2 linked regions of the Tamandua tetradactyla genome follow. Each later gene encodes a partner of the first gene's protein in a complex. Links are inferred from orthologs where the notes say so. Each region holds a gene or a part of one and is shown in the gene's direction. Other genes may lie near its edges.

Region 1 (7,493 bases):
GAGAGAAGCTACAATGTGCAGCCAGAAGCTGGAAGTTAATGAAACCCAAAAGAGAAAGAAGATGTTGACATGCATACTACCATGTGACAGAAAAGAATTGCCAGCAACCAGCCATAGAATGTCACAGTCTGGGGGAGAAAACTAGCCTCAAATCCATGAGCCAATAAATTCCCTCTGTTTAAGCCAATCCATTGTATGGTATTTGTTTTAGCAGACAGAAGAGTAATACACTCCTAACTCTCCTTCATTAGTCACTTATCTTCTTTCTCTTTCTCCTCATTTTCCAGGTTCTCCATCAAAAACACCCACAAATCAGGTCAGGAAAACAGAATCTTCCTTTAGGGGAGGAATTGCATTGCCAAGTCTTTTTAGTTGGCCATTGGAAGGAGAAGTCTTGGAAACATCTGTAGTCACTTACTGAAGGCTATTATCCAACCTTGTTGCTTACAATTGATCTAGTGAGTGGCAACGGCTTTTACTAAAACAACACTTTATTCTGCTTCCTTTCAAAAGTACAGATGTCTGTCAGGGAGGACACACTGTCTGGTGCAAAGGTAAGAAAACATTTCATTTCAAAGCTTTACTAGGAAGATTTCAAGATGGTGGCTTTTTTTGTAAAATCAGGAAGTAGCAGAGCCTCAAGTTATTAAGTCTGGGTCCCTCTGAGGGAATCCTATATGAAGAATCATGTTTCTGTTTCTCTAGGACAGTCATATTTTGCATCCAGTCTTGAATCTTTTCTCCATGTTCTAATTTTTTCTAATTAGCTATAATCATCAGTGTAATTTGTTACTCTTAAAACCTTCTCTGCATCACTTTTCCCTTGAATTTAGTATGGCCGCAGCAGAATCATAGCAAGAGGTTTGTTTGACAAGCCTGAAGTTCTAAATGTTGTCCAGCCTCAAAATATGCTGAGGCACAAAAGAGCTGCTGCAATATGTGTAAACATAGGAGGGGACCTCATAATATTAATAAAGATAATGATAGCAACTGGCATTCGTTGAATTATAATATGCACCCTGCATTAAACTAAGTACTTTGCATAGATTATATCGTTTCAAACTTACACTCCTAAGATTTAGCTACCATTGCTATTTCCATTACCCAGTTGAGAAACGATGGCATGGAGAGTTAAAATAACCTTTTCAAGATCAACAACCAGTGTTAGAATAGGGAAGTGAACTCGTGCAGTTTAACACTGCCTGTATTCAAACCCTGCAACTATCCTGCCTGTTTCTCAAATATGCTTAAAAATTGGTCAACCATAAAGTTGGGGGAGAAAAGACAGCTGCTGAGTCACAGCATAAAAATAATTTTTAAAAACCCACAGTTCTGGAGTTCATAATGTATAATGAAAATAGGCTAAATGATTAATGACTAAAATTCCATAATTTTTTTTTTTACTATGACATGCAGATCTGTAGTTAACATTCTTTTCATTGCTAGTAACAAACTCCAAACTCTAAAGAAGTGGGTGAAAATTCAGGGAAAAAACACAAGAGCAGCTCTGGGGATCTCAGCAGAAGGACCATGTATCTACGGCGCTGCAATTAGTGCGTTTCTGCCACAATGTCTCTGCGCCTCTTCAGCCCCAATTTCAAACCCCAGAAGGGTGTATCTCCTAGGCTCAGCTTTAGCCTATCCCAGGTAAACTAATAAGATATAATATGGTCACTGGTAACCATTCCTGTGTATGTGGTACTTCCTAGAAACATAGTAAAGGCTGTAAGTTGGTAACCACTCCAAGTATTATATACTATATTATCTAATGATATAAGAAGCTACCACAATTTTCTGCTGCTGACAAATGTTCCTATTTCAAGAATTAAGTTCATTAACTAAAATATATAGAGTGTAAATTTTACTATTTTTGGTTTCTCTGGTGTGTGCAGGTATGCTGACCGAATTGAGAAGTTAGAATTGAAAATTCAGAAGACTGACTTCAAATAACTGAAATTTATTATTTCATTTTCAATATGGAAAACTCCCTGAAGAATTAGTTTTTCACGGAAATGAGTCTTCTATTTCTGAGAGCATGCCATTTTAGCTACTCTGAACGAACCCCACCCTCCTGCTGAAAACAACTAACAATGTTAGGTTTAAAAAAAAAAATCAAACATACTGATGAACTGGTAGGAAATGAAAGCAATCTCAGAGGGGATCTAAAGGGGGAAAAAAGAGAAAGGAAAATGAGAATATGCTGAGAGAAAAGTGAGGGCCAAAGCAGTCTTATGCTCAGAGAGTATCTGTCAAATTGTGGACACCTAGGGCTCCTGCTTTGATAGCTGTGCAGCATGTGTGGTCAAGAGATAAAGCCAAAGTCCTGTACAAACGGTGAACTCTAATGGGAGACAAAATCTGGGGCTCTAAAGGCCTACACTCCCAGTGTAAGTGTGAGTGAGAAATAAATCTGATGCTTAGAAGCAGTCACTAAGGAAACATGCCTATCCTGACTCTGGGACTCAGTAAAGGAAGAGAAGTATTCCCTGAGAATCTGTAACATGTCAAATCCACATTCAATCTATCTGTGCAATAGAATATACATCAAGTACTGAGTTTTATCTGGCCCTAGGGTTGATAGCGCCTTCAAAAAAAAATGTACAGAAATTCTAATATTTTCTAGGAAAACCTATCTTTGACTCTGCCCTCAAGGAATCATTATTTTTACAACCCAAGAAACATGAGTTTAGACTTCAAATTAAGAACTGATAAAAAAAAAAAAGTTACCATAAGCAAAAGCCAGAAGAAACGATAACACAAGAAGACCCATAATATTTTCAGCACTGAATTTAAAAGACACAGAACATAGACTAATTATTTTTAATCTGTATAAGGAAAGAAGAAAATAGATTGATAAGAGAATCAAATAGAATTTCTCACATGGAAAAGTAGGTGAAAGTTTTGAGATGGAGTATTTGAAAGAAAGGTTAGGAGAAAGGGAGGATACTAAAAAAGTCTTATAGATATATAATTGAAGTTCTAGGAGATAATGGAGAACACGGGAGATAAACAACATTAAGGCGATAGCAGCTGAGAACTTTCTAGACTTGTTGCAGGACAACAATCTTAAGATTCAGGAATCCCTTCAAATCTCAAGCATGATTAACAAATAAAACTAAAAATGTAAGAAAGAAAGGGAGGGAGGGAAGAAAGATGGGAAGGAGAGAGGGAAGAAAGGAATATAGAAAGAAAGGATGGATGGGAGGGAGGGAGGAATAAAGGGAAAGAAGAAGAAAAGAAAAAAATCCGAACCAAGGGTAATCATTATCAAACTGCAAAAATATTAAAGACATACAGAAGGTCTTAAAAACAGTCAGAAAAAAAAAAAAGAAAACTGAAGATACCAAATTTTAATACAAGTAGAGATGACAGATAATTCTTATTAGGATTTAGGTAAAGTTCCTTTAAGATTCAGCACTACCATAGAGAAGTATCCTGATCAAAAGATGTGATAAATTTTGAGTACAATAGTACAATGTACACACACACAGAGAGACTTTTAACTCCAATCTGAAAAAAATAAAATAGAACATTAGATTATGAACTAAAGATAATTTCCCGACAGAGTTAAAGAAATAGGTAGAAAACAATAATACCTAACATTTGAGTGCTAGAATTTTTAAAAAGAGGAAGAAAATGAGCAATGAATAACTGAATATTATCACTTATGAACATTTGGGGAAAGGAGTCAAAGGGTAGAAAAAGGCAACGCCCAGGACAACAAATGTCCAATATAATCACAATCTAAAGTGATTGTTACCACAGTCCATTAGATAGTAAGGCTCCAGCAGTTATTTCTGACTGCTTTTATGCTGTTAGGTGTGGCTGCAGGTAAATGTACAGATGATCAATTACGTCAGAACGAGGACGAAACAACCCGCAAAACAGAATATTTAATTATAAGAGGCTTCTGGGTACTTGTGTATCTTTTAGCCAGGAAATGCATATTCCATTCCATATTCTCATAGAATAGACATAGAAGCCACCCAGGTGTCCTATTTATATTTCTAGAAGTTAACACTACGATTTAATTCCAGCAGAGTTCTGTTTTAAACAATCGAAATTGCTCGCACTTTTCTGGTTATTCTAGGATTAGAACCTCCGCTATTGGCCTTAACACTACTTGAAATTCATGACTCATAAACGCCGGGACATGAAATCATAGCAGTAACGAACAGGTGAAAAGTTATCCCTAGTTATGTTGTGCAGGAGCATACAACTCCCGTCATTCCCAGCGCAAAAATCAACAAATAAACAGAAGAACCGCATTTCAGATTCTGTTGCGCACAGTGCGCAATGGCGCCTGGTTTTTGTAGTTTCCACCTGTAGAATTGCCCGCGTGTCAATTATTCCTCCGAAGGGAAAAAAACTATACTTCCCACAAAGGCATGGGGGCGGGTACCGGTCGGATAACGTCATTGCTTGAACCAACCAATGACAGCTCCGGGCGGCAGTGAGGCCAGCGCCGTCAGGCGCCAAAGTGTGTTTTTTTTTTTTTTTTTTTTCCTGGAGCCGAGCGGGTGCTGCTAGCGGAGGCGCCATATTGAAAGGGACAAAACTCCGGCGACAACGAGTGACACAAATAAACCCTTGGACCCACTCGTTTCCCCAGCTCTAAGGGCCGCGATGTTGTACCTAGAGGACTATCTGGAGAGTGAGTGCGCGGCGCTGGCGGGGCTGCCTGTGGGAGCTGCGGGCGGGTGAGAGCGCGAGTGGACGGGCAGGCGGGATGGCGGGAGGGAGGGGGAGGCGGGGGATGTTTCTTTCTCACGGTAACTGGCAGCCTCGCAGTGGGCTGCCGGCTCCCTCGACCCCCCCCGACGCACGCACGCACGCACTGACGTAAGCGCGTGTTTCCTCGTTGGCCCCGCCCCTCTGACGGACTCTTCTCTTTGACAGTGATTGAGCAGCTTCCAATGGACCTGCGGGACCGCTTCACGGAGATGCGCGAGATGGACCTGCAGGTGCAGAGTAAGTCGTGGTGTTTGCTCTTGTTGGTTACACGCGTTCAGTGCCGGACATGCCTGCTGTCGCCGCTAGTGGCTCCTGATATTTGACCGTCCTACGCCTCACTCTGGTAGTGCATAAGGAGTTATCAAAAATAAAGGACAATGAGAAATCTTACCGTTCCATCCCACGCACCTTTTCCGTAGCTTTTACAAGAGGGTGCATGAGGGAAGGTGTATATGCCTTTTTCGAATTTGGGACTATGCAAAAAAAGTTCCTAAACCTTCATTTCTTTGAGACTGTAAATATATATTTTAATGGAATTTACATCAGCATACATATTTAGAAGATTTTAACTTGAGCTTTTCTATTGTGGAACTTAGATTTCAACATCTGTATTTCTGTTAGACTTAATTCGATTTAAAATTATCGAGTGGAAAGCACAAAGGACATGTAGTATGTAGGTCTTTAGAAACCCTGGTGAACTGGAAATGCCAAATTTGGAAGTATTACGAATTATGAGATACATTTTCTATTGTCAACAGCCTCATATTGACTGAGGAAATAAGAATTTATTGTAAAGCATCGTGTCTGCTTTAATAACATTTTGGTAGTTGGCGGGTTTTTGCTTGTGACCCAAAGACATTTTCAGTGATAGCTAGGGAGTTGGGTGACTTTTTTCCAAAATTACCTTACTGTTTCAAGAGCAGAGGTTATAGTTAGGAGACTCAGGGACTAGAGAGTTTGAAAAGGGACTTCAGGGTGTTCTGGAATACACTGCAATTTTTAAGTTGTATTTTATTTATATGGGAAGTTTCTTGAAAGGGTCCATGATTCGAAAAAGGTAGCTAAGAAGATAAATACTCAGCACAGAATTATATTTCAAAACAAGAACATAGTGCTGGGTATCACATTTATGTCCATCATGCTCTGAAAGAACCTCACAAACCTTTCATAATTGGAAGATAAATATGTGATAACTGTTTCAGTTATCTCCTAGAGATACTATGTTAACATTAATTAATTAAAAATGTGAAAATTATATAATGCATAATTAAAATGTGTGATCAATAGAACCTTGTTGGCTATATGTCACTTCCTTTGTTTGGAGAAGTGTTTAATTAAGGAGTACCTTAATTAAATCATTTAAATAATATTTATAGCTGGTCATCATGTAAAATGGGCCCAGAAGTTATGTTTGTTGATCTTCAGGTTGTACAAAAAATGTTTCTGGTGCTGCCATGTTTTCTTCTTGTAAAAGTAGGGGTGGAGAAAGACTTGAACTTTGAGGTAGAGACAAAAGTAGTATCATGTAAAGAAATCAGAGCACCAGCCATCCAAGAGTGTGGGGTCTTGGGTAGCTAAGAAGATTCATTACCCGCCCCCCCACACACACACCCCACTTTTCTGCCCTATCACCACACATACGCACTTCCATACCCACTGTTTCACTGTTTGTGAATATAATTTCTCAGCCTCATTAGTTTAATTAAGGACATCTTAGAAAACCAACAGGGGAGGAAAGCCACGTTCTCTTTTTATTCAGTGGATTGTACTGTGAAAGTGTGAATTGCATGTTAGTTTTCCAGTTTACTCACAAAATTCATTTCATCTTTAATATAGTTGAAGTACCAAGGATTTGTTATTGTTTTCTTTAGGATTCAGCACACATTTTGACTTCATACAGTTCTGAGTTAATTTCAAGGCTTCATAAACTTCCTCACTGACCTTGACCATTATTACCATTTCTGAGGGTTTTTCATCATCTGTAAAATAGGAGTGACCTGAAGATTAAAAATATTTAAAATAAATTGCAAAGTATAGTATCTGATAAGAGATAGACAAAAGGGTAGCCATCATTTTATAATTTTTGGTTCTTACAAATTTAAAATTCTCTTATAATTTGGACTTAGTATTATTCAAATTATAGTTCTTTTAAACTTGTATTTTTTACAATAGAGTTTTCTGAAGTTACAGTTGTTATGAATTAACAAAAGAGGCACTTGAGTTGAATAAATTTAGAAAATGCTTATTTAAACAAAGGGAAATTAAAAAAAAAAATTGTAGGACCTCAGGATGTTTAAAAAGCTGTTATGCACTGAAAATCTCCAAAAAGTATATAATAAAAAGGATATATTCAACTTACATGAGCCTGACTCCCTTTTATTTATTTATTTTTCCTTTTTTAACAAATGTCGAATGAGATTATTACTGGGGCACATTTTGAGAAAAGCAGGTGTAGAATAAATCATATAGTGCAGTAAGTGGATAAATGATTGTGTCTACTACTTTAAATTCTGATAAAAGATGATAAGATGCTTATGGCGTATAACAGGAGGTTAAGATTTTTAAAATCACTTTTTCTTATTAAAAAGCATGATTATCCAGTAGTACTTTCAATAAGTGATTGTGTTTGAGCATATATGACCAATTTGTTAGCATTATCTTTTGACCCCAAAGCTGTACAATTCAAAAACTCTATAGACCCCACTTGTGTTGTTGACACTACTTGGACTAATGGAAAAGGTTTTGAAATGACAATAAGA
Region 2 (7,247 bases), on another chromosome or scaffold:
CTCCGAGGGGTCTGGTAGAGGGGGGCTGCAGGAGGGAAGAGATTCTCCTTCTAGGAGAACTTACCAAAATTTCTGAGAAAGAGACTTTTTCAATCTAAAATAATCTACCTCTCCAGATTTTCATGTGATATATCACTACCAGAGAAGTGTGTGTTCTACCCACCCTATGGTTAGGAAGGACTCCCCTAAAGAGAAACCTATATGTTCTCTTCCATAGAACAGATCAAGCCCTTTAAAAAAAATTTAATTTGGTAACCTTCAAAAATACTAAGCTACAAAAATACACAGAGGTAGAAAGAATGGTATAATGAGCTATCATGTTCCCATCATTAAGCTTCAACAATTTAGAGGCAGTACTTTAAGTAGCAGTAGTTTGTTCTCTTTTAATAATATGACAGCTGATCTTTTCAAAACACATACCTTTTATCATTCACAGTGGAATGGGGACTGTAGGTGAAAGTTATAAGCATAAACAAATGTATCACTGACAAAATGGTTCCAGGAATCCTCATGAGGCAATGCACATATTGTAGGAGTCAGCACTCACTGGTGGGAATTAGTTCTCATCTCTGCTAGTTATGCACAACATGGATGATTTCAAACAATTATTCCAAGTGAAGCCTGTGGTTCTCAAAACCACAAACTTAGGTTTTGTGACTCAGGAAGGGAAAACCAAGAGATTAATGTGTAAGTCTGGAATCCCAAGGCCACCCAAGAACAACAATGATTAGGTTCAAGTAGAGATCTTAGTGTTTTCTTCCATTTGAAGTAACCTCTTTTTGCCAAAAGAACGGGGGGGGGGATTTCATCTACAGGAGAGAGTAGCTAGAAGAGAATAAAACCCCTAAAATGATAAAGCTTTCCAATGTCTAACTTCATCTTCTGCTCTGGCTGTCAAAGGCTAATGAACTAGATGGATCCAGACTAATTTGCTGAATTGGTTTCATGAAATCTCTTTGGAATGAGGCAGGTATAAACAGATAAACAGAAAAATATCCTTATTAAAGATATAGCATTTTACTTAGCCTTGAATATTAGGTTTTCCTTTTAGCACATATGTTAAGCAAATATTCTTTTAAAAATCATTCCATAAATCAGACAAAACCAAATGAAAACAAAAATCAAATTACCCTTAGAATGGACCAATTTCCATTCCTACCCAGAAACCACAGGGTGTCCTTCCCAGCCCCTCAGAGCAGACAGACCACTACTTTTCAAATCTAGTAAGGATCTCTTAGCCACTAGACAAGACAAGCAATGCCAGCAGACACTGTTGGGTAGGTTGCACCTTGAACAAGGGTGCCCAACTGAGAGGGCAGAAGTGGGGGCTGAAATTCATGCTTTAACTACCCTGATGGAGGCTGTAACATCTCAGAGAGAGAGAGAAACATTTTTTTCTAATTATTCCACTGGAGTGGACACTTTTCTGAAATTTGTTCCCAGGTGGCACGTTTCTAATTAGCACAAAGGTACTGTATGAGCTAATGGAGACCTTGATGATAAACACAGGATTCTTGCAGTTTCTAGAAGCCCTGTGAAGGCTGAGACCATAATCTGTCTGGCCTTGGGCACTGGAGCCAAACAAACACTGATCAAAGCTATCTTTTCCCTTTCAGTTGCAACAGATAATAAAGACAGCAAATCAGGTATAAATTCAAAAGGAAGACTAACATTTTCTGGGGACCTGATAAGAGTCAGGAATCTGCTGAAGCTCTGCCCCACTAGTAAGTAAAGGAGGCAGGAGAGTATTCATATTTGAGAGGGTAGCATGACTTAATGGGACAAGCATGGGTCTTGGAGTTAGAAATCTGAATCCTCACTCTGCCATTTACTAGCTGAGCAACTTTGGGTAAGTATTTAAGTTCTCTGGGCTACAGTGAGGATTCATGAAGATAACAAAGATAAAGAGCTTGGCACTTTAGGAGGTATTCAGTTCCTGCTATCACCCTGACTCCAAAGTTCATTAACATTATTCCCACTCTTGGGCTTGCAACTTCAGTAAGCAGAGTAAAGCATAAGGATAGGTCTGCTAGACAGAATACTGGAATAGAGTCAGGAGATGTGAGTCTCAGTGTGAGACACATCCCTGACACAGTACCTTGGGTAAGTTACTCCTCTCTTCTGACCCACCAATAACACAGAACACCCCAAGCACTGACTCTGAGAGGAAAGAGCAGAGGAAATCATTTTTCTTGGGTACCTATCATGAGACATGTGCCATACTAGGCCTCTAACTCAACGCTGCCCAGTAGAATTTTCTGTGATGAGGGTAATATTCTGTATCTACACTAACACTATCACCAGTAGCTGGACATAAGTAGCTATAAAGCCCTTGAAATGCAGCTAATGCAATTAAGGAACTGAGTTTTAAATTTTATGTCTTTTAAATAGCCACCTGTGGCTAGTGGCTACCATAGTGGATAGTCGAGCTACAAGATTATATGCAGGAATATTTGTTCTCCTGTAACATATGGTGAAACTGAGGCTCAGAAAAATGAAAGAATTTGTTGAAGGTCACTTAAATATTAAGTAACAAAACCAGATTCAAAACCTGGGAGTAGAAAGTTTAGCGGAGTAGCAGGGTCACATATACCTGTGATTATCTGGATTTCACTATTTACAAATTGTATGACCATAAGAAAAATACTTACGGTCTCTAACTCACTTTCATCATCTGCAACACAGATCTAAACTAAAAAAAGCTAGCTACAGGGTAGGAAGAGTATTTTGAGAACTATAACAACAAGAAGAGAAACACTCAAACTTTTGTGTGATTTCCTATTGTAAAATGAAGAAGAGAGGGAGAGTTAAAATCATCAAAACATTTCCATTTACCTTGTTTGAGTTCCTGCCCTCTTCTTGACCCTCTAGTAAGCCAAAGCAGGAACAAGGTATCTGTAACACATTTCAAGGCCCAGAAAGCCAAGCTACAAACGGTCAAACAGAGTACTGTTAAGGGCTTGAGCTTGTGAGGCAGGTAGAATTCAAATTCTGGTTCCCATACTTGTCATGTGTACTTGGGAAAATAATTTGACATCTCTACACATTAGTTCCTAATCTGTAAAATGGTATTGATAGTATGCAGGGGGCCCTAACAATACATTGACATCACTTATTATTTTGCTTTATATTCCATACCACCCTCTAGTGGTACAAACAAAAATAAGCATTGCATTTCTGCCCTCTAAAGCAGTGGTTCTCAAACTTTAGTGTGCATCAGAACACAGCTTGTAATAGCACACACTGCCAAATCCCAATCCAATAATTTTTCATTCAGTAGGTTTGAGGCAGGGCCCATGAATCTGAATTTTAACAACTTCTCAGGAGATGCTGACACTGCTGGTCCAGAAAACACTTTGAGAACCAGTGTTTTAACCTTCCCCTTTTACATAAACAAATACACGTATATATGTGTATGTGGGTATATATACACACACACATATATATGTATGTTTATATGATTGATAGCTGAAGAGGTATGATTTTCTTGTTTGATTGTTTTTTGTAGCACCACCTAATAAGGATTTTATGAGGAATAAATGAGACTATCCATTTGAACATAGAATCTAAACCTTAGAAAGCATACAAAAAGTGAGGATCATGGAACATACATTGTTTGTCCAGTGTCACAGGGCTAATAAGTCATGAAATAGGTTTCAAAGCTAGATCTCTAATTCGAAAGACACAATACATTTTAGCAGCAGCACTACTAAAAATGGGGTACAAACACATAACACATAAATCTGAAAAATTTTTCAAGAGGAAAGGAAGATCAGTGTTCAATACCAAAGTCCAAGTTTTATCTCAGAGTTGTTATCTATCTTTACTGACTAAACAGCCATCTGTATTTTTCCTTTGGAGGGCGGGAGTTGTGAGAATGTGGGGGAAAAGGTGAAGAGAAAGGGATAGGTTGTTCATCAACACCAGTGCCTGAGGTCATTTATAAACTCTGACAAAAGAAGGAAAGGAATAAAAGAGAGGGATGGAGGGGGAAAAATTAAAAAGGGACGGTAAAAAAAGGAAACAAGGAAAAGCATGTGAATCTTGAGCCAATAAAGGTTGACTTAATTTTAATTGTTCCCTAGAAATGAAAACTATATACCATCACCATAGATTGACGAGTTCAACAAATCCCACCGAGGTTGCGGGTGGGGGGCATGGGGGTGGGGGCAGAGGAGGTGGAAATCCCATAATTCCAGGGCTCAAAACAGCCAATCCTTTGCTGGGATTTGGCGGCATCTAGTGGCAGCATCTAAATGTATAAACCTCATCCAGAGAACTTTCTGGAAAATTAACTGAACGTGAACTCGCCTGAACAGCACTGTTGTTGGAGATCGACAAAAAGGTAAGAGAACCTCAGCCCCCACAGAAATTCAGAGTCCATAGTGGAAGGGCAGGCTGTCGTATGTAGTTATTCCCCACAGAAAATTGTATTTGTGCCAACAGAATGGCACGTAACTTTCTGGGCGGGGCGGGAACAAGAGTAAAGGATACTGGATAAATGAAAGAAGCTGCCCCCTTAGAATTGCTAATTTGGGAATGGAAAGGTTTGGCGTTTTTTTTTTTTTCCTGGTAACGTATATACAACCTTAAATTTCCCCTTTCACAACATTCAAATAAATGATTTAGTGTTGCTAATCACATTCACCACGATCTGTTACCAAAACTTTGCCATCTCCCCAAACCGAAACTGTATACCAATGAAGGTTTGCCTTTTAACCATTGGAGGGCTATAGTTTAGAACAGGATTTTGATACTGAGAAAAACGTGTGAAGAAAGTGTATTAGAGTCTAAAATTGAATTGATGGGGCATACCGAAATACTGATATATATAACAAAGGCCCTTTTTTCTGTTTCGCTGCTTGACTTAATTGGTTATTTCCTTTTTCATTACAATAATTTTCAAACATATACCACAGTAGAGAATGACCACTATAATAATGGTATATAATAATGATACTATAATAATGCTTATATAATAAGCACCCACACGCCCATCTAATTCAACAGTATAAAAGAACAGCTCACCTATAAGAAACACACACACATCGCTTGTTTAGGGACAGACGCGCGTGCTCGCACACAAACGCGCGCGCACACTCGTCCAAAAACAGAAGCCGGCCCCAGTGCTTAGGGCGCACGCTTATCTGCCAGCGCCATGAGCGTCTGCGCACACACACAGCCCAACGCAAGGCCACGCGAGTTAGTCCGCGTACACCCACCGACCCCAACGTCACGCGCCCGCGACACCCACCATCCTCACTCACACGCACATAAAAAAACTCCAGCGGCCTTTTTTTTCTTTTTGCTCAGATCGTTGCGCAAGAGGTTCGGGGGCGTGGCCCCAAACTGGACCAACTGCTTCCCCACCTGCAGGAACCTTAGCTCATTTCCGCCCATCCGTTTCCGCAGGCCACGTAGACACTTCCTTTCCCAGTGGGGGGTGGGAGGAACCCATAATCCTTCCCTGCAGGAAAAAAAAAAAGCAACCTTCTGATCGGGGGAACTCTGGGTTGTGAAAATAGGCCACGTGAACATCCTGTCCTATAGACTTATGACCCAACGGCTGTCGCCTTTTTGGAAGGTGGGCTAAGAACCTAAGAGGGCGGGCATGATTGGCTGCAGCGCGCACTAAACGAGAAAGATGATTGGTTTCCTTCAGACCTTAACCGTGAAGAAGCGGTTGCTAGCACCCCCCTTTACTGCGGCGAAGTGTCATTGCTGACGTGGTGGTCTTCGTCCAATCGTTTGGTTATAGAACATTCTAAAACTTAGAAAAGACGAATTTGATTGGCTGAAGGATGTAAGCCCGCCTCCAGGGTGACGTGTCTGCCTATGGATATCAGTTGCCAGAGAAACCTGGCTTTAGTATGGCGGTTGGAGGAACGGCGGTGATCACACGTCGGCTGCTGGGAAGAGCTGGATTCGCGTTTCAGGTTTCGGGGTGGGGGTGGGGAAGAAGGGTCGATTATTTCCCTTTATTTTCATGTATATAGATAGGATTACCTAATGGCTTTACAATCATATAGCGTTGGGTTTAAATCCCTACTCGCCAACGCCCAGCTTGGGCAAAGATCATGTTCTTTCTGTGTCTAGGTTTCCATGTTTGTAAAATGGTGATAATAATCGTATCTACCTCGGAGATGTGTATTGAGGGTTAAATATAATAGTACATATAAGGCACTTAATACGAAGCCTGGCTCCTAAGGATATTAGCCATTATTATGGAGATTAAATTCCCACGTAATAGAATGAGAAAATAGAGCATAAATTATGCAGATTTGCTTATTATACTGCCTTACCTGCCCATCAACTTCTTCTGATGAATTAGTAGATCATAAGAAACATATCATCTCTACCATTAAAATAATATGCTACCTGAGATCTGCTTTACAATAGTGGAGGTGGAGATTTTCCATATTGAAAAGTTAAAAAGAGACGGAGAACGAAAGCTGGAAATCAACCACATGCAATGAGTAGACCTTGTTTGAATCCTGATTCGAACACCCCAACTGTAATAGATACATAGGGAGAAATTGAACACGGATCCAATATTTGATGGCTTTTTTAAGAAATTGATAGCGATATTTTAGGCGTTGTAATGGGAATGTGGTTATGTTTTTTAAATTATTTATATCTATACAGATATATACTAAAATAGTTGTAGATTAAATAATATGCCTTTATGTTGATGACTAGGATTTGCTTCAACATAATCTAAGCAGAAGGAAGTGGGCAGGGGTATAGATGAAACAGATTTGCCCTGAATTAATAGTTTAAGCTGAGTGATGAGCCTTTGGGATTCTTTATATTATTCTACTTTGGTATGTTTTTGGAATTTTCCATAATATAAAAAAGTCAACTATTCCGTGAGCTTAGGAAAAAATGGGGGGAGGCTGGTGGGTGGGGTTATAGATGAAACAAGATGGCCTTCAGCTGGTAATTGTTGAAGCTGGATGATGGATTCATGTGGGTTTATAGTACTGGTCCCTCTAAATTTGTATCCATTTGAAATTTTCCTTAATAGAAGACTTTTAAAAATTACTATATCAAACAACTAGAGCAAAGATGCTCAATAAAGTAAATTTGAAAATGTAACCACAAGGAAGCAAAAAGAAACACTGATACATTATTTATCATCTTTGGTGTCCTTTGTGTGAGATAAAATTCATTGGTTGATGGAGAAGAACTCCATCATCTCATATCTTTTTGTTTTGTATCCTTTCCTGTCCCCTTGTTTGATCTTC

The links.
Region 2: ING3 (region 1) and MORF4L2 share a complex: the UniProt entries of both Homo sapiens proteins name them as parts of the nuA4 histone acetyltransferase complex. The link is inferred for Tamandua tetradactyla from reciprocal best matches to the Homo sapiens genes ING3 and MORF4L2.

Annotation. Positions count from the first base shown.
Region 1 is NC_135327.1:161,384,387-161,391,879, forward strand, and holds the start of ING3 (inhibitor of growth protein 3), read left to right. Parts: upstream 1-4,476; 5' UTR 4,477-4,626; coding exon 4,627-4,654; exon of another isoform or gene 4,655-4,700; intron 4,701-4,899; coding exon 4,900-4,971; intron 4,972-7,493. UniProt on the Homo sapiens protein: Component of the NuA4 histone acetyltransferase (HAT) complex which is involved in transcriptional activation of select genes principally by acetylation of nucleosomal histones H4 and H2A.
Region 2 is NC_135353.1:70,023,631-70,030,877, reverse strand, and holds the start of MORF4L2 (mortality factor 4-like protein 2), read left to right. Parts: upstream 1-4,234; 5' UTR 4,235-4,345; intron 4,346-5,273; exon of another isoform or gene 5,274-5,569; intron 5,570-5,758; exon of another isoform or gene 5,759-5,936; intron 5,937-7,247. UniProt on the Homo sapiens protein: Component of the NuA4 histone acetyltransferase complex which is involved in transcriptional activation of select genes principally by acetylation of nucleosomal histone H4 and H2A.